Linked DNA regions of Rattus norvegicus. The protein of the gene in region 5 binds, or shares a complex with, the protein of the main gene of each other region. Links are inferred from orthologs where the notes say so. Each region holds a gene or a part of one and is shown on either strand. Other genes may lie near its edges. The genes, in order: Ddx42, Htatsf1, Cwc15, Dhx16, Sf3b5, Srrm2 and Snrnp40.

Region 1 (3,983 bases), on a different chromosome or scaffold from region 5:
AAAAGGAAATATAAATCATTTTCCTCTAAAGTTAGACATGGCCGATGTAAAACAGTTATTTTACGTTTTATGTTTATTAATCTCTGTACTTCCGGGAGCTCCAGAAGAAGGAACTAAGGCACACCTTAGATGAGCACTTAGATAAGGCACACTGATAAATTTGGTGTGTCAAGCTACCAAAAAGAATACATATTGGAGTTGGGGATGTGGCTTGTTGTTTACAGTGCTCGCCTGGTGTGCTTGAAGCCCTAGATTTAATCCCTGTTGCCATGTAAACTGTGCATGGTGGCAAATCCTCCTCATCCCAGTCTTTAGGAAGTGGTAGGAGAAAGTACAGAAATTTCAGAGTCATCTGTGGTTTCAAAAGGTTCCTCTCATCAGAAAAAGATCAGCTAAAGATGAACCAAGAAGCTCCTCCTTCCTACCTAATTTTGTGACCGTGTCTGCTTCTCTTCTTGGGTTTAACCTTGAACTGTGTTTTTTGCAGAACGCCTGGTTTCGGAAGTCACGCTTCAAAGGAGGGAAAGGCAAAAAGCTGAACATCGGTGGAGGAGGCTTGGGCTATAGAGAGCGGCCTGGGCTGGGCTCTGAGAATTCGGTGAGTTCAGAGTACAACAGTACTATGGGCAAAGGTCCTATGTCTTAACCTGTGCTGAGTCGGTGTACCTGAAAGTCTCACGAGTCCCAAATCCTGTGGTTCAGGGATGCGCATGCGATGTGTCGTGAGTCAGTGTGGTGCTGTTCCTCACAGTGAAACTGCTGTGGGCGAAGTGTGTGTGCTCGGCTAAGTAGGCTAGATCTCAAATTGCAATGTCCTACTGACATGGGACCCAGCTGGTTATATATGCACATAATTTTGCACCAAATGATTGGTTTGGTATGATATGGTGTGGGGTTTTTTGTTACTGTTGTTTTGGCCTTTTTGGTTGGTTGATTGGTTAATTTTAGAGACAGGCCTTGGTCATCCTGGAACTTGCTCTGTAGACCAGGATAGCCTCAGAACTGCCTCTGCCTCCACCTCCACCTCCTAGGTGCTGGGAGTAAAAGCATGCCCTGCTTGCGGTAATCTGATTTTAAAAGCCTGTCTATACTGGCCTAGAATCTGTTACTTGGGAAACATTAACTAAGAGGGTCACTTGGCTAGAATTATATTCAGAAAAAGTCTCTACACTGAAAACTTTGGTCCTAAGAATTTGAGAAGATATAAATGGTCTCACAAATCACATAAAGCACACATGCACTCACTGGCTGGCCTGTCCCTTGTCACAGAGGTTCTTAAAGCCAGGGACAGAGCTGTCAGTATGCCTGGATGCAGTTTCGGTAGTAATTTGGCATCATTGGAAGATAGTATTCCCCATATTATGATGATGTTGGTTGTGGAATGTTAGTGATTCATGATAATTACTAAGCACTTTAAATGAGCTGGGGCCATTGCAGGTATTTCAGTGTTTAGCTAATGTAAATGAGTGCCAGTTAATGAAAGTTCAGTTACACGCTGGCAATTGTTGAATCTCAGATTCATCTCTTTAAATAGTGTCGCTTCAGATCCTGTGATGCTACATTGTGCTATATTACTGGCCTTTTCATCTTTAACATTTTTACTCAATAGAATGTTGATATAATATGCACTCGTATCATTGATAAAATACACAGTCATACAATATACAGCCATACAGTGATTGCATTCTGGTCATTGGGGTTGGTTCCCAGAAATAAATGTCTAGGTTGAGGGACTTAAGCGTTTCTCAATACCTCCTTATTGTTGTACCTTTTCCCACAAAGGAAGTAACTTCTAAAAAAATACCCTGTGCCTGCTGCAGCCCTGGACCCAGGGTTTCAGTGTGACAGGATTGTGCTGCAGTTGCTTCTCTAATAGGTATGCTTGCTTGCTTTTTTAGGACCGAGGAAGTAACAACAATGTAATGAGCAATTATGAAGCCTACAAGCCCTCCACAGGAGCCATGGGAGATAGGCTGACAGCAATGAAAGCAGCTTTCCAGGTCTGAAATAAATAAATATCCTGTTTTAAAAACTTTCAAGAGGGAGGGGGCTAGAGAGATGGTTCAGTAGATAAGAGAACTTGTATTCTTTCAGAGGATCCAGGTTTGTTTTCTTAGCACTCACAGCATTTTACAGTCATCTTTGTTCAGCTCCAGGTAATCTGACACCCTCTTGTGGCCTGCACAGGTATCGGCATGCATGTGCCATACATGCATACATACGGTATTCACAGGCAAAAATCACTATGACACTTATAAATAAATCTTTTTTAAAAAAACAAAAAACAAAACAACCAAACCAAAAAAAAAAAAAAAAAAAACTGTTCAACAGTAACTCCTGGAAATGGGAGGAAACCTTCCTGAGAAGGTAGCTGAGTCTGTAAGTTTCATGCTAGATTAGAGCCTTCTGTTTACTTGAATTTCATATACAGGCTTTAACAGTATCATGCCTGGATAGAGAAGTGGAGTGTCTGTAACTTTATCATTAAGAATTATCTATAACATTGTTTGTATATTGAAGCTTGTATACTTATTCCTGGTGTCTTTTTCTTTCAGTCCCAGTATAAGAGTCACTTTGTTGCAGCCAGTTTAAGTAATCAGAAGGCCGGAACCTCTACTGCTGGGGCAAGTGGATGGACTAGTGCAGGAAGCTTAAATTCTGTTCCAACTAATTCAGCACAGCAGGGCCATAATAGTCCTGACAATCCCATCACCAGTTCTACCAAGAACATCCCAGGCTTCAACAATTCTGGGAATATCAGTAGTGCCCCAGTGACCTACCCTTCTATTGGAGCCCAAGGAGTCAACAACACAGCTTCAGGGAGTAACAGCCGTGAAGGGATTGGGGGTGGCAATGGGAAAAGAGAGAGATATACTGAGAACCGGGGTGGTGGCCGTCATAGCCATGGAGACAGTGGCAATCGACATGGAGATGGTGGCCGCCATGGAGATGGATACCGTTACCCAGAAAGCAGTAGCCGTCATACGGATGGCCACCGACATGGAGAGACCAGGCACGGAGGAAGTGCAAGCAGACATGGAGAAAGCCGGGGTGCAAATGATGGCAGGAATGGAGAAAGCAGGAAAGAAGGCTTTAATCGTGAAAACAGGATGGACCCCAAGGTGGACAGCAGCAGGATGGACAAAGTGGACAGCAAGACAGATAAGACACCTGATGGCTTTGCTGTTCCAGAGCCACCCAAACGCAAGAAAAGCCGATGGGATAGTTAGAGGGTATGTGAAAATCAGCGTGGTCAGTTGTCTTTCATTTTATTTTTAGAAAGATTTTGGTAATGAGGTGTCTCAGGGCTGGGTTGGGGTCCAAGATATACAGACCCCCTGCCCTTGGTGGAGAACTGGAGCGTGGAGATATTATACCTTCATCTGGTGTTCATTCAGATGTTTTCATGGGAACCTGAGTTGGCCCTAGAAAGCAGAGGGCTGGGAAGCTTTTGTTTGCTCTGGGTGAGTTTAAGGAGGGGTAAGTAGGAAATGCTTAGGGAGAAAGGAAGGGCCTTTTAGGGCACAAAAACTCACTCTAGGTTTATAATAGCTTATATTTTTTACTAAAATGTCACCTTATAAACATCTATAATTGGATTTTTTTTCTTAGCTGTGGCCAGGCAGTCCCATATTTTGGAGTTGGCGTCTACAAACCCAACTTTTGACCTGTTATGGCTGCTTGGGAGCAGTTTGGTGCTTTCAGATGTTTGCAGGGAAGATACCTGATAACTCAGCTTCCCCAGACTTTGTTTCCAGCCCTGAGACATGTAGGAGACATGTAGGGAAAGACAGCCTTCCAGACAGACACAGGCTTTGAAATCCTAAGCCATTAGGACTGAAGGAATGATCATCTTGGAGGGATTCCAGGATTATCCAGGCCTGGAGTACTGCTAAATTTACCGTTTCAAACCAACCCCAACAGTAGCTTTCAAAGTGTCTATTTCATTGTTTTGTTTTTTTTTTTAACTTGCCCTAATAGTA
Region 2 (4,567 bases), on a different chromosome or scaffold from region 5:
TGAATACAAGGCTAATTTGGGTAAATGAGTACAACAACTTCCTATCTATAAATGTGAAGAGGATTCACATTTTATATATTAAAAATATCAGTTATGCTATGCGTATGTTTCACTAAATGTAAAGGAACAAATTGCTGTGAATTCTCTAAGGCAGGCATACAAAACAGCATGGAACACTGCATAACTTTTCTTCAATCCCTCCTCATTAAATTCCAGCTAGCATAAGCAGGTGAACAAAACACACCGAAACTAAAACTCACTTAGCGCAGTTTCAACACTAAAGGATACCAACGTGAAAACTGCACTGCAACAGGATAAATACCTGACACATATACATTTGTATTTCTGTCTTCTTCAACATGGAACCATCCTAAAAATCAAAGGGAAATAAATAAAACACTTGAAACAAACAACAAGAATTACATTAGGAAATCTTAGCAAAGGCAGTTTCTTCAAAGTTTTAGAATGTCCTCTTTATCTCAGACAACTACGCCTAACTCAAATCCCTACGTATCTTCCAAAAGACATAAACCTTTTGACTGAGAATTACCTTTAGCGTTCTTTCTATCCTTCATGACTATAACCCTATCTTAAAGTGAAAACTCACATTATCATTCTTGCCTCCAACATGTACAATGGACTCACTCATTTTTCCTATCTCATTTTTAAACCCGGACTTTGCAAAGACAGAACCACTTGCCAGATTCAGCCTTTCTCTTTTCTCCCCTCTTTTTGGAGTCAGTGGTTTCCGGGATTTCTTTCTGTGGCGGCTCTTCTACAGTCTTAGTGTTGGCGTCCTGGACATTCCCAGTAGAGCTGGGTGCACCATCACCAGAAAAGCCGTAGTTGGCCTGATACGAAGCAATGAAATCTTCGGTGATCTAGATAAATAAGTCAACACATGGACGGACAAGGTGACTTCACTTGTGGAAACTGTGTTACATTCAACAATATAAGCTAAGACTTAAACAAGTGTTTATACCACAAGTAGTTCTACTAATTAAAATATAATCCAAGACCAGTCACCTTATACGGAAAACGTGTAGTGCAATCAAAGTAGGACAAGGGTGCTCAGATTGCCAAAACCACACGCATAGTTTTAAGTGATGCTACCACTTTTTTCTACATTCTTGTAAACTACTACTTCTTTACAGTATATTTAACAAAAGTGGCCAATACATAAAACAAAAGAAGTATCGAATAACAAGATGGTAAAACCCAAAGTCCACTAGCAATCTATTGCAGTATCTACTTTTGGGTGCCCAGATACCAAATAATAGTTTGTCAGACTATTATAAGTGCTCAGAAAGAAATCTCATCTACATTCGAAAAGGCATTGCAAGTCCAGAAGTTCAATTGTAAATTTTTACAGTTTGGGGTGCTTGAAATATGCGCAAATACAAAATCAGAAAGAATAGCTGAAATAAAGAATTTTGGAACCAACAATCAATCCCCCTGCACAATGGAGAAAAGTTGTGTGTGATTGGCTCTCCAATCGCTTGGTGTGCTGTTAGTACCCTTTGATGCCAAAGTTCCCATGAGGCTAAAACTAACAGAGTACTTTCACCCTACAGTTTATAACACCGGGTTCAACACCAGTTGTGTTATTTCCATGCTGAAACTAAACACTTAGCAATTCCCAAGTACTCGGAAACAAATGTAGAGTTCTCTTTCATCCATTTCCTGCGCATTCCTAGTCATACTCCTGTGCTTAGAGGGTCCAAACTTAGATGTCCTGGAACAAAATTTAGTAGAATAATAAAACAAAACAAGAATCAAGAAAAGTTTATTCGGCAGAATGAGCTGAATGACTGCTTTCTGACCCGGTAAATCAACAAGCTACATTAGGCACAAGCATGTACACGAAGCGTAAGTTAAGTTTGGTTATACAGGATAAAACTCTTATTAATGTGTTTTTCTTGGTGTTTTTCCTCTTTGCAGTAAAAATATCCAGATAAAAATGAACTGTGACCTTCACACACACACACACACACACACACACACACACACATACACAAATTAATAAGACATTAAAAAAACACACTTAAGGCACCACTCTAAGATTTACTTTTCTTTATACATCGGGGCTGCAATAGACTGAACAGACTAGCCACCAACCACCAGTTCAAAGACCAAGTACTTCAGCGGAGCAAACATAAGAGGGATGTCCCGCAAAGGTGGTCAGGGAGCCCTATGTCCCGCTCCACAGTGGGACTCAAGCTACTCTCTTACCTTAGGGAACCAAGCCTTCTTATCAAGGTCCCACTCGTAGGGAGTGTCATCTGGTGGTTGTCCCAAAGAATCAGTTTCTCCAGAGGGCTCATTCTGGGTGTCACCTTCCTTGGGGTCTCCGTACAATTCTTGCATTCGCAACTGCTCATCAAATTCATCGTTCCCGCTCAAGTTGCTGCCACTCATGGTTCTCACGTAGTCCCGGACACAACGGTCAGAGAAGTGAAGAGGCCAAAAGGGCGCTGGAAGAGAGCAGAGAAAGAGAGGTCTGCAGAGCTCAGAACGTGCACTGCAACTCCCCGGCCGCCTCCCGCAGCGCCCCAGCAGACCCTGGGAAGTCTAAGCGGTACCACCCCAACTCCGCCCTCCTGCCCGCCCCACTCGCGCACGCATGCGTCTAGAAACTGCCAGCGCTGTCGCCGCCACCCACCTGGCGGACTCCGCGGGGTCTCAACGCCACCGCTAGGTCTAGGGCGAGGCGGAAGCGCGCAAGCGCGCGGTTACCGCCGCGGCTGGCTCCGGGGGCACTACAGCTTCCTCCGCCACGTCAGGCAACTATTTGAGAACGAAGTCCGCCTCAGACTGATGCGGTCGCCATTGTCCGCGCGTGGCGACGTAAGGATCGCTCGACACGCCCACGTGGCGTCATATGTCCGCGACGCTTGCGCGGACAGGGGCGGGGTTTCAAAGCCTGGCTGCCGCCGCGTGTCCATACTTAATGGTAACTCGCCTTAGAGACGCAACCTGCAGAAATGCGTGGCACCTCGGGAACCTTGGGCTCCTCTGCACTCCGGACGAATTTCGCCGCAGCGATTGCCTGAAAAAGGACGCGGAACTCTTCCAGACGAGCTGGCTGTGTTTGGGCTTTGCGGCAGGCGCCATCTTGGGGAGGTGGGTGGGACCGTGGGACAAGTTTCTCCCGCTTCGCGAAACCTTTGCGCCTCCTTCGCGCAAATCCCCGCCCCTGCGCAGAAGCCAAGGGTTTACTTATTTTTAAATGCTTGCCCTAGGGTACACGCGGCTTTTGTTCACCTTAGTAACCCAAACACCTAATATACTGTTTGGCGTCTAGTGAAGAAGGAGTGAAAGAAAAGTGGGCAGAAGCCATCGCTTCCTAATCTCACCCCGTTTTTTTTTTTTTTTTGTTTTTTGTTTTTTTTCCGGATCTGGGGACCGAACCCAGGGCCTTGCGCTCGCTAGGCAAGTGCTCTACCACTGAGCTAAATCTCACCCCGTTTTTATGCTTCTGGTACCACCCTCAGACTGCAGTAGGTGAGAGTAGCTTTTGCCTGCGGCTTACTGCAACGTGTCAGAGGTGTTCCAGCCTGGAATTTGAAGCTTGACTGTAAACATCCCCTTGTACAAATAGGAGATGAACCATGTGGCCCCATTTCCTTGTTTCTTAGTAAGACAGCCTACTGCCTTACTAAGAAAAGCGGGACTTTTCTCTTAGATGTTTCATGTACCTCGAAAAGGGAAGAGGTCCATATTTTTAAAACAGACAGGCATTTACTGAACTATTAAGTGCCAGGGGGCGATTCTGAGGCAGCTGCTGAGAAGACAGATCAAGGGAGGTTCAATTATAGTTGGCGAACAATAGGGTGGAAGCACCAGATGCTGGACAGCAGCAATTACTTTGTTTTATTTTGTTTTCAGCATCCTTTAATACTCAAAAACTAGACAATTCTAAACAGCTTTTTTTTTTTTTTTTGGTGTGTGGACTACGTTTATCAACAAACAACAACGTCTGTTGCCATAATGTTAACTATGCAAGTAAAATTTTAATCACTAAAAGTAGCAATAAACTATACATGTAGACATCAGTACTATAATCAAGACTTGACTGTAGGGAAAAGCTTCTTAGAAATTATTTCCATTCCAGTCACCTTTGTTTGTAAACACAGTGGTTCAAGCTAGGTTCTAGAACATCTTGGCTCCTCACAAATCTCTGAATCTGATCCCACGTTAACGATGTTAAAAAAATAAAACAGTATTTTTTGTTTCCAAATATATTTATTTTTATGAGGTTCTGTTTTTAGTAGAACTATTGGAGAACTGAATTTATATGCATGCTGTGGATTTTGTTAGGTTCTTTTAAATGCTGCTAAGTAGGTCTTGCTTTGATCTGAAAACTATACAGCACTTTTCACTAATTTGTTATTATGCTTCCATTTCATTCAGGAGTATGTTTACAATAGAAGAGATAGTGCACTGGATGATATTGCACATGGCACACACTTTTAACGCCGTGCGCGCGCATGCGCACACACACACACACACACACACACACACACACACACACACGCTCACATACATCTATCCTTATGTTTGGGAG
Region 3 (4,431 bases), on a different chromosome or scaffold from region 5:
TTCTATCCGCTTCGACTGCTTGCCTCTCTAGTCACTAAGGGGTCTCTGAGCGCTATGTGTCTAAAAAGGCATCCTATCTAAGGGAAGTAAAGGGCAGCCCTGGGTAGAATGCTCAATGTGCTATTCACAGGGCACTCATCCTGACAGTGTCCTGTGCAGTTCAAGCAAGGCAGGCTAACCTCCTGCACCACTGACAATACTGTCAGGGGTGGGCATATCCTTTTTCACTGACTGCTTCCACACAGCCCTCCGGATTAAACCTGTCCTAAAAGTCCTTGACACAGAAGAATACTTGATGTTTTAAAAACAATATAAACTTCAAAGTCGAGGTCAGTGATATATTTCAGTAACATAAAGCCAAAGTGTATTAAATTTTTTTTTCAGGAAAATATGATATGCTGTGCCCAATGGCAGAGGCCCACAGTTCCAGCACTGAGGCGGCTTGAAACAAGCAAACAAATAAACACAAGCTAACCCAAACCCAAACCTAAAACACGTACATCTGTGAGAGGATCGTCAGCATCAAGGTTGGCAGCAGGAATCTGGTCTAAGCGGGGCTTCTTGGACACCGAAGAGGAAGTTGTGTGTTCTGAAGAAAACAAACATTTAGCATATTGAAGTACATACTGGATTTTAAGTAACATTTTAGAAACCTTTGGGCAAAAAGAATCCACACAAAGCACAGTGACAGCAGGGACCCACCCTGTGACGGGCAAGTAAGTCTCTGATAAATACTTGTTGGTTAACATGGGGTGAATTAGTGAGCACGCAGATCACAGCGTCTCAGGAGACTAGCCAATGCTCACATGTGGTAGAAACATAAAAAGGGTAACTGATGCTTCTCTCAAAACTCATCAATTACATGGGGAGTCCCAGACAGAAGGCCTCGGGCGGGTTCCAGCTGCTGTAAAGTCAAAGTCTACTGACAGGAACTGAAAAATGGTTTTAAACACTTCAGGTCACCATGTCTTCAGTACCAATGCATGACAAGATGGGACTGGAATAAACCTCATTATTGTCTCTTATCAAAGAGGTATAGCTCACAACAATGTTAATTGTTTCCAATCACCAGGAAACAGTTTGCATCACATAACTATGTGACACACGAGGGACAGCAGATACCTCGGGTTGGACGGTCCCTATTTTTCTCCCTTGCAGCAGCTCTCTCCCTCTCTTCCAACTCTCTCCTGAAGTCACGGTTGCGAACCTCTTCAGGGGCATCCTGTGTGGTTTGTCTTAAGTAGAAAAACAAAACAAGCCAAAACAGGTCAAAAATGTTGCCCCCAGTTGTCAAGGAAAAGAACCTATATGGCTATAGCAACTTGAGACAATTCAGAATGTAAGTGTCAATCAAGAACAAAACGGAAGAGGACAATATCCCAATCAGAGTGCTATTAATACACTCGTGGGGTTCCGTATCACACAACTTCCTACAGCAGGACGTCTCTTGAAAACAGTCCTCCACTCAGGGCTGTTACAGCAACTCCCATACTCACTCAGAAGACTGAGCTGGTTATCATGACTAGTGAGGGCTTCATCCACACCAGCAATCCCTGCTCAATAGGAACTTATGCTGAAAGACCGTAGAGCACTTTACAACTACAGCAAATAATTGTATTGTAAACTTTTTGAAAGCCTTTTCTTGGAAGATCGGTAACTTAAATACTATTAATTTAGACATGATCATAAGTCATGGTTGGTTCCATTCTGTGAACAGGACAAATGAAAGGCTTCTTACCTGTACTTTATCTTTGTATGAGAGGGAAGGTCTCTGCTTGAATACTGCTTGGAGAGCTGGCTCAAATCACCTTCTCCTTTTCCTCTCCCACCTCTTGCAGGTTCAAAAGTTGGCCTGGCTGCTGTTGTCATCTTCTATTCTTTGACAAACATGGGTTTAATTATACTTTCATTTTATAGATCATTCATAATTACCTGTCCTTAAATCATTCTCAAAACTCTCCCCAGAACTGCTTAAGTAGTTTGCTTCAGTACAAGTCTCTAAAGAGCAGAATCATGAAATTCAGGGTGTTTACTAGATATGCACTGCCAGGCAGCTCTTATTTGATATAAATAACTACTCTGAAGGTCTGAGTCTGTGCTTCTGTTTTAGCTGGGTAGCCCTGCGCAAGTCTCCTAGCTTGATTCTATCACTTGTGGAATGTTGATACTTCTATAGAATTATTATGAGATTTCTGACACGTGATGTCAGATCTTGGACAACAGTGTAGTGTGGCTTTTAAAATAAATGACTTAAATTTTTTTTTTATATCCCACTAGCACTAGGTTCTCTGAGATTTTGTTTTATTTATTTTTTATGATAGGATCTCACAATGTATTTCTGGCTGAATTAGAATTCACAATGCAGATCAAGCTGGCCTAGGACTCTCCAGAGATCTACCAGACTGCCTCTGCACTGCTGGAATTGTCCGGCCAAGATTTGCATTTTTATCAGAAACCTCACACTACAGCAAATGGACCAATAAAAAACAAATTTCTTTTAAAGTTACAGGCAAACTTATTGAGTGTCTTAGAGTTTGTTTAAAACCCAATGACATTTACACTGGCAACATTACCCCAGAATCTTGTTGATTCAATTTCCCTCTAAAGCAGTTACCGCAACATTCGTAAAGCTTTGGTAGGCTGTAACTTAACGCAATCCTAAGAAAATCGGAACTCCACTCAACCAAACATCAAGAACTGGGCATGACTGGGTACTACTCCTGTGATTCCAGAGCTTGGGGGGTGAGAGCAATAGAATCGGGAGTTCCAAGCTAGCCTAGGCTACCAGAGAACCTTTTGCAATTTTTAGCTGTCAAATAAGAATTCCAGCCTAACTACAGGGCTACTAAATCTCCGTTAGCTTAAGCAGCATGCTCAGACAGACCGTGTGGGACGTGGGAGTTTCTACCCCATCCTACCCTCCTTTGCTTTTCTCAGTGTCAGCGGTGCCGCGCCGGTGACCGCCCCGAGCTCGGCTGCAGCTCCCGACCGCCATTCCAGCACCGCGGCCCGGACGATAGTCACGGCTCTCCGACTCCCCGGTGCGGCCCGCACAGGGACCACAAACCACTATGCCCTGCTACTCACTGTGGCGGGGGTTCGACGCAGTGCCTTCAGAAGCTCACTCACGAACCATTGCGACCCTTAACTCCCAGAAATCTCTGCGCAAAACCGGAAGCAAAATGCAGAACTTCCAGTCTCTACACCTGGGACTCAACTAAGACCCGGAAGCAAAATCTTCGCGCTCCCAACGGCTGTGTAGAAGACGCGAACTCCACACCCGGAAGCAAATCCCGAGTTGGTTTTTTTTTTTTTTTTTTTTTTTTTTTTTTTTTTTTAACCGTCTTTTAGAGGCTGACCCAGTGACCAATCCGCAGAGACACGGGAAAAAGATGGAGTGACGTCGCCTAGGGGCGGAGCCAAGGCTGCTTAGGGGGCGGGCGTTTGAAACCGGTGCTTCATAGTCGACCCCAAATATCATCTTGTGCCTTTGAGAACCAATTACTTAATCTCTCTTGCGTCTTTTCCTTTCCCGACCCCCTCCCAGACTCTTTCGCTGCGGTTCTGCGAGGACGGAAGGCGCCAGGAGCCGGTCCGCGTCTCGCAAGCGTTGAGATCTGAGGAGAGCTTGCCAACTGACCGACCCAACGGCTCCTGCTCCTCAGTAGACCCCGCAGCCTAGGGACTAGAGTTGTCACTTAAGTGGATATGAAGAAGGCGCAAATAAGTACGGGGGCAGCCACGAGCTTTCCAAAGGTACCATTCCTGCGAAACCACTGGCCTTGAAGGCAGGGGTTATAGTCGCATTGCTTGTTAAGATATATAAATATATATATATATATACATAGCTATATGCATTAAGCGTTGTAGTGTGAGAGGAGATGCCGTGAGCGTTTACGATAGTGAGAATTTATGGAACAGTGGGCCTAACTGCCAGGAGGAGCACGAGATGGGTAAGATGGCTTCGCCAACGTTGTCTTGGTGTCCATCATTGAGATTTTGGGGACGGCCAATGCTCGATAAAGAGAATTCTGTTCTCCAGTTTATCTCAAGTGGAAGGATCTCCTAAAACTGAACATTTCAGTTCTTCCCTGACCTTCCTTTGGAACTTTTAAATGAAGAAAGAGAATTATAAAAGAACCCCCCCCCAATGTGCCTCCCCTGAAAGTAGAAGGTGAAAAGCTTCGTTTCTTTCTTTTTTTTTTTTTTTTTTTAATTTATGGAAGGTGTGCACCTCTCTCAGCCTCACACAAAGGACGCTGCTATCATATTAGTGGCTCCAACCCAAAGCTGGAGACCCTCTACCTTCCCTCATCACATCCTGTTCACTTGCCATGCTTGCCCAGTATTGTGAAAATTACCCTGAGCTTCCCTTCCCTGTTACTAACCCTCAATTCAGGCCACTGGCATTTTCCTCTTGGATTTGTAATT
Region 4 (3,983 bases), on a different chromosome or scaffold from region 5:
CTCTAGGACTTCCCCAGCCATTTTCCTCAAAGATCCACTTAAGTACATACATCCTGGCATACACTGAACTGAAAGTTTACTATCTAGGCTAATGCTGATTTCGTCTCTCTCCAGCTGGAAGGCCAGGGCTGCCCCTCAGCTGTGTCCAAACACCCAGGCAAACAACTTGGAACAAAGGGGACAGCATGTGCCTTGCTTGTGTGTGGTAAGGGTCCTCCCACTGACCTTCCGGGCCCCGGGGGGCGTGGGCTGGAAGATTCGAGCCTGCATGTCGGAGGGCAGGTTGGCGTAAATGGGCAACACCAGGAGCTCCCGGATCTTGGAGCCCAGTCTGCGGCAGCGGTCCTGGAGCATCTCGCAGGCAGCCTCAATCTCCTCCTGAATATGGAGCAGGATGGCAGGAGACCTGGAGTCAGTCATAGGACCCACACACCAGCCCCATCCTCCCCGAAACACTCCAACCACTTCCCACCACAGTACTCACCTGTCCCGTTAGGAACACCAGTATATCCCCAGGGGGCTGGGTCACATGGATCTGCAGCACAGACACCACACAGGCTTCCAGGTAGTCAGCCTCTGGGGCCTGGGAAGGAGGAAGACACAGGGTCACAGAAGGGCCACTTGCTCAGGCAGGCTCTTGTCCCTGCTCAATGCCCACCCCTCTCTGGGTGTCCATTAGACCCTTCCATTGGGACATCCTCCTAAGCCAGCCCCAGCTCCTCTGCCTCACACGGAAGCCCATCCTCCCGAGGGGCACCTTGGTATAGAAGATGTCAACTGGAAACCTGCGTCCAGGGATTCGGAAGACAGGGGCATCATCGAAGAAGGCAGAAAAACGAGCAGTGTCCAGTGTGGCCGAAGCCACCAGGACCTTGAGCTCAGGTCGGAATCTAGCAACATCTTTGATCAATCCAAAGAGAATGTCTGTGTGCAAGGTCCGCTCATGAGCTTCATCCACCATCACCACACTGGGGAGAAAGTGGGAGATTGGTGAGGGACAAGCGGCAGGGGCTTAGCAGTGCAGGGCTGGATCAAAGAGAGGGATGGAGGGACCTCAGGGGGAAAGGGGACTGAGTGGGAGGAGGCTAAGGAGAAGTCAAATGTTCCAATTACGTAATGTTGGCAGATGGTGAGCATGGTGGGGGGTTCTGTGATCTGCGGCCCATCCGGGCACTGGCCAAGAGAAGCAGTCAGGACGGGGCTAGTAACATGGCTCAGCGGTAAATGTGCTGGCCACCAAGCCTGCCGACCTCAGTTTGATCCCTCGAATGCACATGGTGAAAGTACAGAACTGACTCCTATAAGCTGTCTTCTGATCCCCTACATGTCCACACATACACACACACAAATATATACACACGTGCACACATACACACACACATATACACATACATATATACACACATATGCACATGTGCGCACATACATACATGTACACACATACACACATACATATATATACACAACTGCATACACACACATACACAAATGCACATACATATATATACATACACATACATACACACAAATACATACACATACGTGTACACATACACACACGTACATACATACATACATACAAACACAATTGTATACATACACATATACACATACATACATACATACACACATACATACATATATACACACCATAAGTACACACTCATACATACATACACACACACACATATACACACACACACACAATTCTTTTTCAAATATAAAAGAACAAAGAGGCAGGGAAGAGTCTAGATTCCTTTAACCTAGGATTAGAACAAGTCAGACATCTCTGGATCAGTCAAGAGACAGCTGTTCTCACTGGAAGAAGTGGAACTAAGAACTTAAAGCAAACAGTGCATGGCCTGGTGGCTCTTCTTGTACTCTCAGCAATGTGACCCACGAGACTGAGGCCAGCTAAGGTTAGATAGTAGATTCCGGGCTAGCCTGGGCTACAGAGAAACCCTGTCTCAAAACACTAAGAACAGATAAGGGCCACCTGGACCCATTAGAATAGAGAGAGATTAAAGGAAGCGAGAATCTCTGAGGGGGAGGTGGGGCATCTTGTGCAAAGCATACACACACACACACACACACACACACACACACACGCACACACACACACACACACGCACGCACACGCACGCACGCACACGCACACACACACGCACACACACACATGCACGCACCTGTAACTTGCGAGGTCAGGCTCAGAGAGGAACTCCCGGAGTAGCATTCCATCTGTCATGTAGCGGAGAACAGTTCGCTCTGATGTGCAGTCCTCAAACCGGATGCTGTAGCCCACCTGGTCACAGACAGTCAAGAGGTTGGAATGACCGATGACCAGACCTGAGGTGTGGGGCCATGCCAGCAACGTAAGAAGCTTCCCTCTCACGAATCCCCAAAGACCTCACCTCATTCCCAAGCTTCACCCCCATCTCCCGGGCCACTCGGGCTGCCACACTCATGGCCGCCACTCTCCGGGGCTGGGTGCAAGCAATCTTCATACCCTTCTTGGTGTAACCCTAAGAGGAGAGAAGGAGGGGTTACTCCTCTGTTAGACATGCTGTTGTGAGCCAGGCAGGGCAGGGAAAGGAGAACAGATGGGATGAAAGCCAGAGAAGGACAGACAGACAAGAGAGAAGCCAAGGGCCCCCGGGGATGCTAAGCCAGCCTGCAGACCTTGGCTTATAGGCAGGGCTCTGCTGGACTTGAACTGACCAGGGACAGATTGGCCGAGGCATACCCAGAAGCAATGGGAGACATGCGGTTAAACAGTAGGAAAACACCTTTTACTTTTAGTTCTCTGGCCCCTGCAGAGGGAAAGCAGGGCCGAGGTCGTGCGGGATGGAAGCCCAAGAGGTTCCAATCTATGATGCTCATCTCACTGCTCCCATGGGAGACCTGCACGTTCACAACTCGTACCAGGTATGGATGTGATGGCGGGGAGAACAAAATGGTAGAAAGAGTGGCCTCGTCAGTCTCAAAAGCCTCATGACTTAGCAGAAAGGACAGGAAAGGACATCTTTACCATCACACAAAGGGGGTCTCCCAGGACTGACTCAAGGGCTGAGTGGGCCCTAAGTGACATGCTGTAACGACTGACCTCCTCAAAGAGGTACTGTGGGATCTGTGTGGTCTTCCCTGACCCAGTCTCGCCCTCGATGATGAGGACCTGATGGTTGGCAATGGCGGTCAGGAGCTCCTCTCGGAAGGGGAACACTGGCAGGCTGCGGCGCACGGCCTGGATGGACTCCTTCTGCTGGGCCTGGGCTGACAGGGGCGGGCCTGATGACGGCTCCTGAGGAAAGGACAGAGGTGCTGAGGTCCCCACCACCTTGAGAGGCCCTCCTGTCATTACCCCGGACTTTCTCCCTCTCACCTCGTCGCCCTGGAGCTGAGCGGCACGGACGAACTCGATGGTCTCGTCCTCCTCCAGCACCAGCTGGTACTGGGGTTCCTGGGCAGCAGCGTCTCGGGCCCCAAACTTGAGGGATGCGGCGTCCAGACGGGCCTCCTCCCAGCGCCGCTGCTCCTCGCCCGGGGCCCCTGATTCCTCCTCGACGATGTCGGTGGCTCGAGCGGGCTACGGGGAGAGCAGCCGAGAAAGCTGAAGAAGACCCTCCCCACCACTGCTTCTACCAGTTATGAACAGGAGAGGGAAGGGAGCAGCCACCACACCGGTTCCCTCACCTGTCCTCGAGTCTCCTTGGGCATGTGGTAGCGATTAGTGGCCTCCAGCTTCTCCTGCTCGCCAGCCGCCCGGTACTCCCGAGCCAGGTCCCGCACACGCCGCTTGTACTTGAGCTCCCGGCGCTCATGGCGGCTCAGCTCCACGTCCCCAAACAGGACCTCCTCATCAGCCAGTTCTGCCTCCAGGTCCTCCAGCTTTTCCCGCTCCCGCTTTGCCAGGTATTCCCGACGAGACTTCTTACGGAGCTCAGGGACCTGGGTCAGGAAGGAACAGTCAAATCCTCATCCTACCA
Region 5 (3,139 bases):
AGTCAAACACACTGCTGCTCTTGGGCCCACTGCAGGGCAGGCCTTGTTAGATGGAAAACACCTTCCCATGCTCTGCGTGGCTATTTCTCTTGATTCCTTGAAATCTGTCCTCAAATGTCACCATCTCGGTCATGTAGCATAAGCGTGGGATTTGAAATTGTAAACTCCTCAAGCTGCCCCATCCCCCTCCATCTTCTAACTCTTGACTAGTTTAGCATATCTGCTTCCAAACTGGCCGGCATAATGTATGTCCTCAAACCTTTGGAAAATGCTCTGGTGAAAACTGAATGGGGAGAGGTGGAGCAGGGTCGGGACAGGACACCATTGTTTGCCAGTTTGTCATTTCTGAAGACACACAAACTAATTACCAAGAAAGGGGGGAGGGGGCTGCAGCATAAAGGGAAGTGAGGTTAATGACAGCAAAGACTAGAAATGGGTGGGAAGGAATGTGGAAAAACTCCATGCTTGAAGGTTTCCTTGGTACCAGACACACTGTAGGCATGAAGAAAATCGAGGTGAGGGAAGATCATAAAAGTGTGTGTGACAACTAAAGTACTTGTCAATAAACGCTTGCCCTGTGCTTCCGCCCCCGTTTTCTAGTCATATTCTCACGAAATCTTGATCCACAGAACTCTCTCCAAATACCTCCCAAAGAACACAGCAATTCAAACCAAAAGATATAACAAATCCTAACTTTATGTATGATATATATTTAAAAAAAAAAAAGGCGAGAACGACATCAACTATCGAAAAGCTGACTCGGAATGCGTCATCACTCCCAGGCAGTCTTCTCCCTCGCTTGCCGATTCTGGGATCACTCCTTCCGCACAGCTCCCAGGAGACCCGACAGTCTCTCGATGACTTGTTCGGAACCGTCCACAGGTAAGCAGGTCAGGCGATACACCCAACGGAGAATGGTCGAGAAGCAGGAGTCAGGAGGATCGGTCCACAGATGGCAGATGGGGAAGGCTGGGAAGCGCTCGCCTCAGTTCTCCTCCGGCTTGTCCGCCGGCGGCCCGCTGGGCTGCAGCATTTTCTCCATCAGGTTGAAACGCACGCGCGCTTTGCTCTCATTCTCAGCAATGGCGAAGTAGTTGAGGAGGTCGAAGTGACCCATGTAGGAGCAGTAGGAATCCCGATGCTGGTTCACAAGCCATTCCCACTTGGTGGTGTCGGCGTGGCCCGTGCCGATGTACTTGGACTGCAGATGCTCGAGCTGGCTGTGGATGGTGTACCGGTCCGTCATCTCGCCGCTCTGTTCTTAGGCTTCGAGGTCAGGCCACAGATGAGAAGCTACCGCTGTTCGGCGTTCAAATCAGAGAGACGCCGCCGCCGCTGCCGCCGCACAAAAGCTCTATTCGTGCTGGCGCAGGAGAAAGACGACACGCAGTCGCAGGAGTACTTTCTTTTCCTAGGCGGAAGGGGAAATAAAGTCTGTTGCGGGATTGGGGTTGCCTAGGAAACAGTGGGCCGTCTCCTCACGGAGCCCGCCTACTTCGAAGAGCGTTGCATGATGGTCCTCTTAGTGGCTCTTGGGTGATCACGTTCTAACCCTCGCGTTGCATTCTGGGACATGTAGTCCAAAGAGTTTGTCTTAGATTGTTTTTGAGGGGTTTTGCCTGGCTTATATAGGACAATGTCCAAAAACCTCGAAGCTTCATCCCACGGCTCCGGGCTACAAAGAAGGAGAAACCTACGTGGGTTTCATAATCCCACTGTCATTGAAATCTCATACTGCCGCAACACAACAGTATGAGCAACGAGGAAAACTAACTCTTGTACCTAGAAGTTAACATGGTGGCATGGTTCCGCCTTGGCCCAAGTTTTGTCTCTTAGGATTTGGGTACCGGGAAAAGTTTTTTTTTGTTGTTTTTTTTTTTTTTTTTGTTTTGTTTTGTTTTGTTTTTTGACTCTCGCTAGCTGCTTGTTGATCAGTGTCAGCACTGGTAGTCTCATTAATGGCTTCCCTAAGGAGTTCCAGGCGCCAGTTTCTCAACCCACCTAGGCTCTGTGGCCTTGGGCAAACAACCCCTCTTTAAGGTCATTCATAGGCTATTCCTTGAAGTCGGATATGGCTCGAGACAAGAAACCTCTTTCTCTTCATCTTGTGTTTTTCTGCTGATTTCTGCCTTATGTTGGGGGTTGTGCACTTTCTCGCATGGTACAAACTACTCAGAAAAAGATAATTGTACTTCTTTCATGGTACTCCCTGAGGATATGCGAATAGCGTGATGAAGATTGTATTCTCAAAAAAAAAAAAAAATCTTAAGAATGGGGTAAGAGCAATCATAGCCAGAGAGGATGGATGATGACAGACAAATTGAAAATACAGGAGTTTGGGGGTACTTTTGTTTATTTGATGTAAGAGGGGGGAGGCGAAGTTTTGTCCCTGAGCTCACAGCAATCCTCCTGACTCCTGAGACTAGAGACTTGTGCAACTCCATCTAATATTTATTCTTCTGTCTAAACTTTGTCATAAAGCATCTTGCCAGGTGGTGGCAGCACACATCTTTTTTTTTTTTTTCTTTTTTTCGGAGCTGGGGACCGAACCCAGGGCCTTGCCGCTCTCCCACTGAGCTATATCCCCCAACCCCGGCAGCACACATCTTTAATCCCAGCATTTTAGAGGCAGAGGCAGGTGGCTCTCTGAGTTCCAGGAGAGCCAGGCCTACAGGGAGAAACTCTGTCCCGAAAAATAAAACCAACCAACCAAACAAGCAGCACCCAACACTTAAATGACACAATACACATCTTTTTTTTTTCTTTTTCTTTTTTTCGGAGCTGGGGACCGAACCCAGGGCCTTGAGGTTGCTAGGCAAGCGCTCTACCACTGAGCTAAATCCCCAACCCCCACAATACACATCTTATTCCTAAAATGTAGATGTACACGGCAATACCCGTGGATTCACCATCAGCCGTACTACACAGAGTTTTATATTTTGTTAGACAACACAGTAGTATGGGATTTCAGTGGCAGTGGGATTATGAAATACAAATCTCTTTCTTCATGAGTTTTGGTTTCCGGATGTGTGTGTGTGTGTGTGTGTGTGTGTGTGTGTGTGTGTGTGTGTGTGTCTGTCTGTCTGTCTGTCTGTCTGTCTGCAGGGCTTGGAGGTAGAGTGGGATTTGACCACTTGTA
Region 6 (3,983 bases), on a different chromosome or scaffold from region 5:
GAAGAGGAAGAGGAAGAAGAGGAAGAGGAGGAAGAGGAGGAAGAGGAGGAGGATGAGGAGGAGGAGGAGCTGGAACTGGAGCTGCTAGAGCGCCTCTTCCTTTTGGCCGGGGTTGGTTCCTGAGGGCGTCCCTCTCTAACAGCCTCCTTTGGGACTGGGGTGGGGCTGGGAACCCTGTGAGAGAAGAAAGGTGTCACAAGGAGACAAGATGCCCCAACCCCAACCCTACCTTCCTTGGCCTGGAGGAACGGCAGTGGGGGAGGGGTGCCTGAAAGGCCCTGGGAAACCACGAAGGCAGGCCAGTGAGCACTTCTCTGGAGCAGTGGCACAGAGCTGACCAAACCTCTGCTAACACAAGCAACAGGCTGGGGCCCGAAGCACAAGGGATCAAGGTTAAACCTCAAGAATGTCCCTGATGAAGGATTAAGGCCCCTGGACTCAGATGTGGAAGCTGAAGCTGGGTGATCTCCTTCCTTGGAGAGCCGCAGCTTGGGGAGGCCCCTGTGAGTGCAGGTTGGCTGGGGAGGGGCCGTCCTGCCTGGAGGCAGGGAGAGGGATGGGATGACCTCTGAAGATCCTTCCAGCCCAGGGAGTTCCTCTTGAGGTCTAACTGCCATCCCTCCTGCTGTAAAATTAAGTCCATTTCCTCTAGTTCTGTCCTCTGTAGAGATGGAAAACTTATCATTATCCTCTGGAGAATTAACCTTTGGAGATTTTTATCTGTCCCATTCCTCCCCACAAAGCCCCCACCCAGCATTCTTTCTACTCCCAGCTTGAAGGCCAAGGTCCCCCATACTTTCTCAAAGCCAAGTGCCTGTGACAAGGTTTCTCCCTCCCGACTCCCCCACTCGAGTCCCTTCTCCTTAGAACCCTTAATTCCCTCACCTTTTCAGTGCCACCTCAGGTTGAGCAGGAAGGCTGGAGCCCTCTGAGTCACTAGAACTGGAGCCAGAGGAAGAGGAGGATGACGAAGATGAAGATGAAGAGGAGGAGGAGCTAGATGATGATGAAGAGGAGGAAGAGCTCCGACGTTCCTTGGCTGGTTGCAGAACAGCCAATGCAGAAGGCTGCTGGGCCCCAGTAGAGGCATGTGGCTCCCCACCTTCAGCATGGGATACCCCAGGGGCAGGGCCAGAAAGCATGCCATTGTGGTCACTAGCAGAGGATGTGGACTTTGCTACAGTCCCGGATGAAAGGGACTGAGACCCTGCTACAGGAGTGGTCTGGGCAATTGAACGAGATTGGTCTGAAAAAGCAGATGGCACAGGTGACCGAGGCCGATCCTGTGCAGGAGGGAGAAGAGATTGGGAAGGAGCCTGGACCATTCTTGAAGCAGGGGAAGGAGCCCTCTCACGCTCAGAGGTCATTCTAGACTGGCTTGGGGCAGATGGTGGTGTTCTGGACCTGGCTCGATCAAGCAATAAAGGTGAGGTTCTGCCACTGACACGCTCATAAGCAGAAAGGGGCACCCTGGGACTGGTGAGATTTGCACCAGACAATGCTGGAGCCATCCTGGAACTGGAGAGATTTGTGGGAGCCAAAGCTGCAGGGGTTCTAGAGCCAGCAATATTCACAGGAGCTGTGCCATGCGCAGATCGAGGACCCACCAGGTTTGCGGGGGTTGGAGCCTGGGGTGTTCTGGAACTGGAGGGATAATTTCCAGCAGTTGGAGGTGTCCCAGAGCCTGTGAGACTCAAAGCTGCTAATGCAGCTGGTGTTCTAGCTCCTGCTAGGTTCACAGCTGAAGCTGCAGGGGTTCGAGGATCTGCAAGGTTCACAGCTGAAGGAGCCACTGCTGTTCTAGGGCTGGCCAAGTTCATGGCTGCTGCAGCAGCAGGTGTTCGTGAATCGGCAAGGTTCACAGATGCTGGAATAGCAGATGTCCTGGCACTAGCAAGGTTCATAGCTGCTGCAGATGCTGCTGGAATCCTGCTGGCAAGGTTGGCAGCTGGGGCTGTTCTGAGGCTCATGAGAGGTACAGGAGCTGGAACCTGGGACATTCTTGCAGCAAGGCCAGCAGCAGACATGGATGGAGGTGGCCGGGCAGTGCCAAGACTGATGGCTGTCAGGGCAAGTGCAATTCTAGACTGAGCATGGTTTTCTGGAACAGATGATCTTGGATGATCAGGAATCCGAGGACCTGGACCGTCCATCATTGAGCCACCAGTTTGCTGGAGCACAGACATGGGTGTTCTAGCACTTCCAAGGGGTTCTAGCATTCCAGGTGATCTACATCGGTCAAGAGGAGTTGGTGACATGCTAGGACGACTAAAACAGCTCATTCTAGAGCTACTAAGTGCTACAGGAGGTGTCCGAGATCCAGAATGATTCCTTGTTGCTGGAGGAGTGGCAGAACGTGAGCGATCAGAACTACTTCCAGATGCAGACCGCCTACGGATGGCTGGAGGAGATCTTGTTAAAGATCGCTTGCCTCGAGCTGCCCTAGGTGTACGAGACCTAGAACGGCGGCGGATAGCAAGTGGTGAGCGGCTTCGAGAGCGCTTGCGTGGCAACAGTGGTGTCCGAGACCTAGAGCGTCTCCGAATGGCTGGAGGAGTTCGGGACCTGGAACGGCGTCTTGTCACTGGAGAGGTTCGGGAACGGGACCGCCTACGGGTGACTGGAGATGTTCGAGACCTCGATCTTCTCCGGGTGACTGGGGATGTCCTGGATCTTGATCTTCTTCTTGTAACAGGTGAAGTTCTGCTTCTAGATCGTCTCCTGGTTACTGGTGGACTCCTGGATCTGGATCTTCTGCGAGTCACTGGTGGAGTTCTAGAACGAGAGCGACGGCGAGTTGTTGGTGTCCTGGACCTTGAACGACGACGAGTTACTGGTGGTGTTCTGGACCTGGATCGCCTTCGACTCACTGGAGATGCTCTTGATCGAGATCTACGCCTATTCACTGACCTTGACCGTCTCCTACTCACGGGTGAGGTACGAGATCTGGATCGACGTCGGCTGATCAGGGGTGTTCTGGACCTGGATCGCCGATGAGTAGCTGGTGAGGCTCGAGATCTAGAGCGCTTCCAAGGAGCTGGTGATGTGCGTGATCGAGATCGCTTCCGACTGGTCAGGGGTGTACGGGAGCGGCCTCTTCTGCGTCTAGAGGAGGTTCGGGAACTTTCCTGTCTTGTAGGTGATCTTGAATGGTAACCAGAGCCACCCCTCCGTCTCCGAGTAACCCGTGACCTAGACCGGCTCCTCTGTCTTCTTCGTGATGTTGACTGAGATGATCCAGATCTATCTCGACGTCGGGTTGTTCTGGTTTTCTCTCTACGTGAGCGGGATCGGGATCTTTGGAGTCCACGAGGTTTGGGTGAAGGAGACCGGCCTCTCCTTGAAGTTGTCTTGTTACGGGGAGAAGAAACTGAGCGCCTCCTCCTTGAAGACCTTGACTTTTCAGTTGGCTCTGGTGAAGATACTGAAGGACTTCTTCTGCGTCTTGGTGGAGTTCTAGAACGGGTTTCTGGTGATGAGGAGGCAGACCGGCTTCTTCGAGAGACTCTAGCCTTCCTGGTTAGCTCAGGAGATGAGCGAGAACTCCGGCGTCGAGGTGGCGTGCGGGACTTTGTCTTTGGCTCCACTGAGGACCTGGAGCCTCTTCGAGCAGTTCTGGATTTGGGGGGATGCTCTGGAGAAGACTCAGAACTACTGCTTCCTTCAGGGGAAGGGCCTCTCTCTTTGCTTGATGAACCTGATCTACTACGCCTGGGCAGGGCCCGAGGAGCAGGTATCTTGTGTTCAGGAGAAGAATCAGTACCGCTTTGAGCCCTCTGTAGCACTCTTGACTTTTCTTTCATTTCAGGAGATGAGCCAGACCTACTGAGCCTAGGAGAGTGTCGAGATTTGCTGTCAACCTCTGGAGATGATCCGGAGTGGCTTCTCTGTCTGAGAGGAGTTCGAGCCTTGGGTTTAGAATCTGGAGAAGAGTCTGACTCACTTCTTTCTTGTGGGGACACACTGGGTTTTCCATCAAGCTC
Region 7 (3,983 bases), on a different chromosome or scaffold from region 5:
TGAGTTCTAGGACAGTCAGGGCTACACAAAGACACCCTGTCTGGAAAAATTAAAAAGATTCCCAGTTCCATCTGAGCATTCGTATAAAAAGCAACCCCTGGGTTACTCCTGTGCTGGGTCTCCTGTATGCTGTCAACTGCCTTCCTCTGGTCACTGTCACTGTCCCAGCCCCCACATCCCCACACCCCCAAACCCTCAAACCCCAGTGTTAACACTGAATTCACATAACTGACTCCTGCCTGCCTGCCTGCCTCTGTACCCCCAGGGTCCTGGAGAGAGGTCACTTCCCATCTGGAGCAGTCATGGCAGACATGGACTTACTGATGGGCTCATCGGGATGGAAGGCCACCTCATTGATGGAGCCAGCATGACCAGGAAGCTTATACAGGATCCTTCTGCTTGTGGTGTCCCACACGTACACAAACCTGCAAGATGCCACAACAAACAAAGGAAGGTCCCTTAGAAGAGGGTCAGAGCACTTGGGCTGGAAGCAAAATGGAGAACGTTTGCTTACTGAACAATCCTCTGGGCTTTGGAAAACAGGACAACACCAACTGAAACAGAGAATATTTGGGGCTTCAAACCAACCAAACTGAGGCCAGGCAGCAGTGCTGCATGCCTTTAATCCTAGCATTAAGATCTCTGTGAGTTTAAGGGCAGCCTGATATACAGAGTTCGTTCTAGGAAAGCCAGGGCTACACAGGGAAACCCTGTCTCAAAAAACAAACAAGGGCTGGAGAGATGGCTCAGTGGTTAAGAGCACTGGCTACTCTTCCAGAGGTCCTGAGTTCAATTCCCAGCAACCACATGGTGGCTCACAACCATCTGTAAAGAGATCCGATGCCCTCTTCTGGTGTGTCTGAAGACAGCTACAGTGTACTTATATATAATAAATGAATAAATCTTAAAAAAAAAAAGAATGCTAAAAAACAAACAAACCCCAACAAAATAGATACAGTCCATGACTGATTATGCTATTTACAGAATTGACAAAATTCTGAAATCACAGAAAGACTATACCTGCAATCCCAGCACTGGGAAGAGGGAAGCCAGGAGGACTATGGGTTTGAGGCCAGCCTAGAATGTACTGAGATGGTCTAAACCCCTATACTCAACAAATGAACAAGAGTTCATTAGTTATGTCCTGTGCTCTCTCCGTGTGGGCTCCAAATCTGAGTAACACACTTGGAATAGTTGGGTATATTGGCACATGCGTGTAAACCCAGCACTTGGTACAAACAGGCTGCAAGACATGGAATTTAAAGGCCATCCTGGGCTATATAAGACCTAAATAGTCTAGACAGGAGGCAGACCCCATCCCTGCCTCTGAGCTAGTGCTCATGCCCTCTGATGCCTATCTCTGCCACGCACAAGCCACTGTCCCTCACCAGCCCCGCCCCAGGCAGAGGGGAAGGCTGACGGCACTGGAGTCAGAATAGTGGGGGCAAGGTCCACAGCATGGACTCACTGGCCAGCTTGTCAGACAACTGCCTTTCTTTCGTTAGAATAGTGGGGGAGGGGCTGGGGATTTAGCTCAGTGGTAGAGCGCTCGCCTAGGAAGCGCAAGGCCCTGGGTTTGGTCCCCAGCTCCGAAAAAAAGAACCAAAAAAAAAAAAAAGGTGGGGGAAAAAAGGATTCTAGCTTTTTTTTTTTTGGTTCTTTTTTTCGGAGCTGGGGATCGAACCCAGGACCTTGCGCTTCCTAGGCAAGCGCTCTACCACTGAGCCAAATCCCCAACCCCTGGATTCTAACTTTTTGAGAACAAGAATATACGCAAAGTGGCACGCAGAATTAGTGACTGCTATTGCTAATGTGAGTGTGTTACACAGCCAGAGCCAATGAAGTCATGTGCTGACCTGAATCCTCTTGGCGGCTCAGCCGGTGCCTGTAACAGGGCTGCGGAGGGTTAGAGGGCACAGGGGGAGGTGATCTGTAAGCAGAAGGGGAAACCCACCAGACCCAGGCACAGCTGGAAAGTGGTTTTCTGAGTTGGATATTATCTCTCAAGTTGGCAGAAACCAGCAGAAGCCTAGATCTCCAAGGGTTTACTTCAAGGCCTTGCTCACTCCTCATGGCTGCCAATTACATGCTAAATTTAGAGGGTTCCTTGTCCTCCCCACACGTGGGCATGTCACCATTTGGTAGAAACCAGGTTACTTATACAACAGAACTGACTGCTGACTTTAGGCTATCAGGGTGGCCTGTGAAATCCAGCCAAGCTCAGCAGAGGAGCACGCTTTCCTTCCACCAAGCCATGTGTCCTCTTTAAGGATTGGTCAGAGGAAGAGGAGCAAGAAGACATTGTAAGTCAGAAGATGTGAGCTGGACACGCTAGCTCACTCCTGCTCGGAGTTCAAGGCCAGTCTGCCGTACGCACTGAGTCTGAAGACAGCCAGAGATCCATGATGACACCTTGTCTTGCAAAGTTTCTAAGCATGTCCCCAAAGGGAACCCCTGCTTTCAGGCCTCTACTGTGAACCTCTAGGCGTCACTTACAAGTCCTTCGTCCCTGGCACTCAGAATCTCTACTCCATCAGATTTTCTCCCAAGTACGCAGCACCACAGACACCAGAACCAGCCTGTATCTGACAGGTGAATTCTGCCCTGTTTCCCATTCACAACTAAGGCCTTGAGTCATTCTAAGTTCATACTCGGGAAAGCCTAGTGACTTGGCAGAGATGGACGCTATCTAACCTGCTTCCCTCAGCGACATTGGCACTTTCCACCGAGCCTGGAGCTGATTCTGAATTATCTTTAACATTGACAGCTATGACCAAATGCTGGGTTGATACAAGGGTGGCATTTGATTGTCACCTCTGACCTAGGAATTTGTCCTTGAAACAGCAAGCGCTCAGAATTCAAGCACCAACCAGTACCCTGGGTTTACAGAGGATGTCAAAAGATTGTTCTGACTGTGAGAGCCATTCACAGAGATGCCCCCAATGTCTGTCTAAATGTAAGGAAGAAAAATATGTATAAAAGTTAGATGTATGGAACAAAGAGCAATGTGTCATGCTAAAGGGAGAGAGGGGGAAGGGAGAGGGTGAAGGAGAAGAGAGAGAAAAGGCGAGGGAGCGAACACTGAGAGAGTGCCATGGATAGCTCAGAGAAGGAGCAGAGTGGTTACTGGGAAGACAGTCTAGAGAGCACTGAGGGAGGTGTGAGAGACCCTGGAGAAGAATGGCAGGAGGGACAGCCTCTAATGTATTACATGACGGGAAGGAGAAGGCAGAGACACTAGGAAGATTATCAGTCTCCAACAGATATAAACACAGTCGACTCTCTAGGCCTAAAAACAAACAGACAGAAAACTACGTGTGTCCAACATGGGCTCTAAACCATTTGTCTTCACACGGCTTCACTTCTGAGAGCCCCTCAGTCACGTGGAAAGCTGTACCTCTGTTGTCTTCACAGTTAGGCATTAGGTGTGGGACCCGCATAGCCACCCCATTCTCCACCTCATACCCAGGGACCCTTACCTGTCTGCTGAGCCAGCTGCTATCTTGCTTCCGTCTGGTGACCAGGAACACCTCAGGAGGTTCTGCAATGAAAAAAGACTCCATGAACAGTTAGTGTGCTAAACCCGTCTCGCTGCACTAGGGGTCAGCTGACTTAATTCCCTACTAGGCTTCAGTATCTCCCAGACGTCATCAGCCATCACACTCCTGCTCAAAACAGCACGCTCTGTAATCTCATTAATTTTTCTTTAAATATTTCCGTATCTTACTTCTAAAAAAAATTCTTATTCATGTATTGGTTTTTCTAGACAGGGTTTTTCTGTGTAACAACATCCTTGACTGTCCTAGAACTCACTTTGTAGACCAGGTTGGCTTCGAATTCATAAAGATCTGCCTCCCAATTGTTGGGAATAAAAAAAAAAAAAAAGCATATGCCACTATGGCCTGGCCTACCTTATTTATTATCAATCTAAGTGTATTATTTTAGGTAATCTGTCTGCAAGTATGTTTGGGCATCACATGTGT

The links.
Region 1: the proteins of Sf3b5 (region 5) and Ddx42 are in contact, whole or in part, in a cryo-EM structure (PDB 7EVN), measured with the Homo sapiens proteins. The link is inferred for Rattus norvegicus from reciprocal best matches to the Homo sapiens genes SF3B5 and DDX42. Residues at the interface, in NP_112577.1 of Homo sapiens: Arg4, Tyr5, Thr6, Ser9, Gln10, His13, Leu14; in NP_031398.2 of Homo sapiens: Asp156, Ala159, Tyr160, Phe161, Tyr163, Met164, Asn167.
Region 2: Sf3b5 (region 5) and Htatsf1 share a complex: the UniProt entries of both Homo sapiens proteins name them as parts of the 17S U2 SnRNP complex. The link is inferred for Rattus norvegicus from reciprocal best matches to the Homo sapiens genes SF3B5 and HTATSF1.
Region 3: Sf3b5 (region 5) and Cwc15 share a complex: the UniProt entries of both Homo sapiens proteins name them as parts of the minor spliceosome. The link is inferred for Rattus norvegicus from reciprocal best matches to the Homo sapiens genes SF3B5 and CWC15.
Region 4: Sf3b5 (region 5) and Dhx16 share a complex: the UniProt entries of both Homo sapiens proteins name them as parts of the minor spliceosome. The link is inferred for Rattus norvegicus from reciprocal best matches to the Homo sapiens genes SF3B5 and DHX16.
Region 6: Sf3b5 (region 5) and Srrm2 share a complex: the UniProt entries of both Homo sapiens proteins name them as parts of the minor spliceosome. The link is inferred for Rattus norvegicus from reciprocal best matches to the Homo sapiens genes SF3B5 and SRRM2.
Region 7: Sf3b5 (region 5) and Snrnp40 share a complex: the UniProt entries of both Homo sapiens proteins name them as parts of the minor spliceosome. The link is inferred for Rattus norvegicus from reciprocal best matches to the Homo sapiens genes SF3B5 and SNRNP40.

The regions. Positions count from the first base shown.
Region 1 is NC_086028.1:91,676,468-91,680,450, forward strand, and holds part of Ddx42 (ATP-dependent RNA helicase DDX42), read left to right. Parts: intron 1-487; coding exon 488-598; intron 599-1,898; coding exon 1,899-2,000; intron 2,001-2,555; coding exon 2,556-3,230; 3' UTR 3,231-3,983. UniProt on the Homo sapiens protein: ATP-dependent RNA helicase that binds to partially double-stranded RNAs (dsRNAs) in order to unwind RNA secondary structures. Unwinding is promoted in the presence of single-strand binding proteins.
Region 2 is NC_086039.1:139,971,039-139,975,605, reverse strand, and holds the start of Htatsf1 (HIV Tat-specific factor 1), read right to left. Parts: upstream 2,865-4,567; 5' UTR 2,663-2,864; intron 2,646-2,662; exon of another isoform or gene 2,475-2,645; 5' UTR 2,419-2,474; coding exon 2,233-2,418; intron 882-2,232; coding exon 701-881; intron 371-700; coding exon 323-370; intron 1-322. UniProt on the Homo sapiens protein: Component of the 17S U2 SnRNP complex of the spliceosome, a large ribonucleoprotein complex that removes introns from transcribed pre-mRNAs.
Region 3 is NC_086026.1:19,585,694-19,590,124, reverse strand, and holds the start of Cwc15 (spliceosome-associated protein CWC15 homolog), read right to left. Parts: upstream 3,210-4,431; 5' UTR 3,088-3,209; exon of another isoform or gene 2,919-3,087; intron 1,878-2,918; exon of another isoform or gene 1,873-1,877; 5' UTR 1,870-1,872; coding exon 1,739-1,869; intron 1,236-1,738; coding exon 1,123-1,235; intron 590-1,122; coding exon 501-589; intron 1-500. UniProt on the Homo sapiens protein: Involved in pre-mRNA splicing as component of the spliceosome. Component of the PRP19-CDC5L complex that forms an integral part of the spliceosome and is required for activating pre-mRNA splicing.
Region 4 is NC_086038.1:2,872,826-2,876,808, forward strand, and holds part of Dhx16 (pre-mRNA-splicing factor ATP-dependent RNA helicase DHX16), read right to left. Parts: intron 3,946-3,983; coding exon 3,691-3,945; intron 3,584-3,690; coding exon 3,380-3,583; intron 3,299-3,379; coding exon 3,104-3,298; intron 2,995-3,103; exon of another isoform or gene 2,787-2,994; intron 2,523-2,786; coding exon 2,412-2,522; intron 2,303-2,411; coding exon 2,187-2,302; intron 969-2,186; coding exon 758-968; intron 584-757; coding exon 485-583; intron 407-484; coding exon of another isoform or gene 379-406; coding exon 226-378; intron 1-225. UniProt on the Homo sapiens protein: Required for pre-mRNA splicing as a component of the spliceosome. Contributes to pre-mRNA splicing after spliceosome formation and prior to the first transesterification reaction.
Region 5 is NC_086019.1:9,175,441-9,178,579, reverse strand, and holds Sf3b5 (splicing factor 3B subunit 5), read right to left. Parts: upstream 1,392-3,139; 5' UTR 1,247-1,391; coding exon 986-1,246; 3' UTR 679-985; downstream 1-678. UniProt on the Homo sapiens protein: Component of the 17S U2 SnRNP complex of the spliceosome, a large ribonucleoprotein complex that removes introns from transcribed pre-mRNAs.
Region 6 is NC_086028.1:13,347,205-13,351,187, reverse strand, and holds part of Srrm2 (serine/arginine repetitive matrix protein 2), read right to left. Parts: coding exon 886-3,983; intron 662-885; coding exon of another isoform or gene 649-661; exon of another isoform or gene 175-648; coding exon 1-174. UniProt on the Homo sapiens protein: Required for pre-mRNA splicing as component of the spliceosome. As a component of the minor spliceosome, involved in the splicing of U12-type introns in pre-mRNAs.
Region 7 is NC_086023.1:148,012,155-148,016,137, reverse strand, and holds part of Snrnp40 (U5 small nuclear ribonucleoprotein 40 kDa protein), read right to left. Parts: intron 3,542-3,983; coding exon 3,480-3,541; intron 426-3,479; coding exon 322-425; intron 1-321. UniProt on the Homo sapiens protein: Required for pre-mRNA splicing as component of the activated spliceosome. Component of the U5 small nuclear ribonucleoprotein (snRNP) complex and the U4/U6-U5 tri-snRNP complex, building blocks of the spliceosome.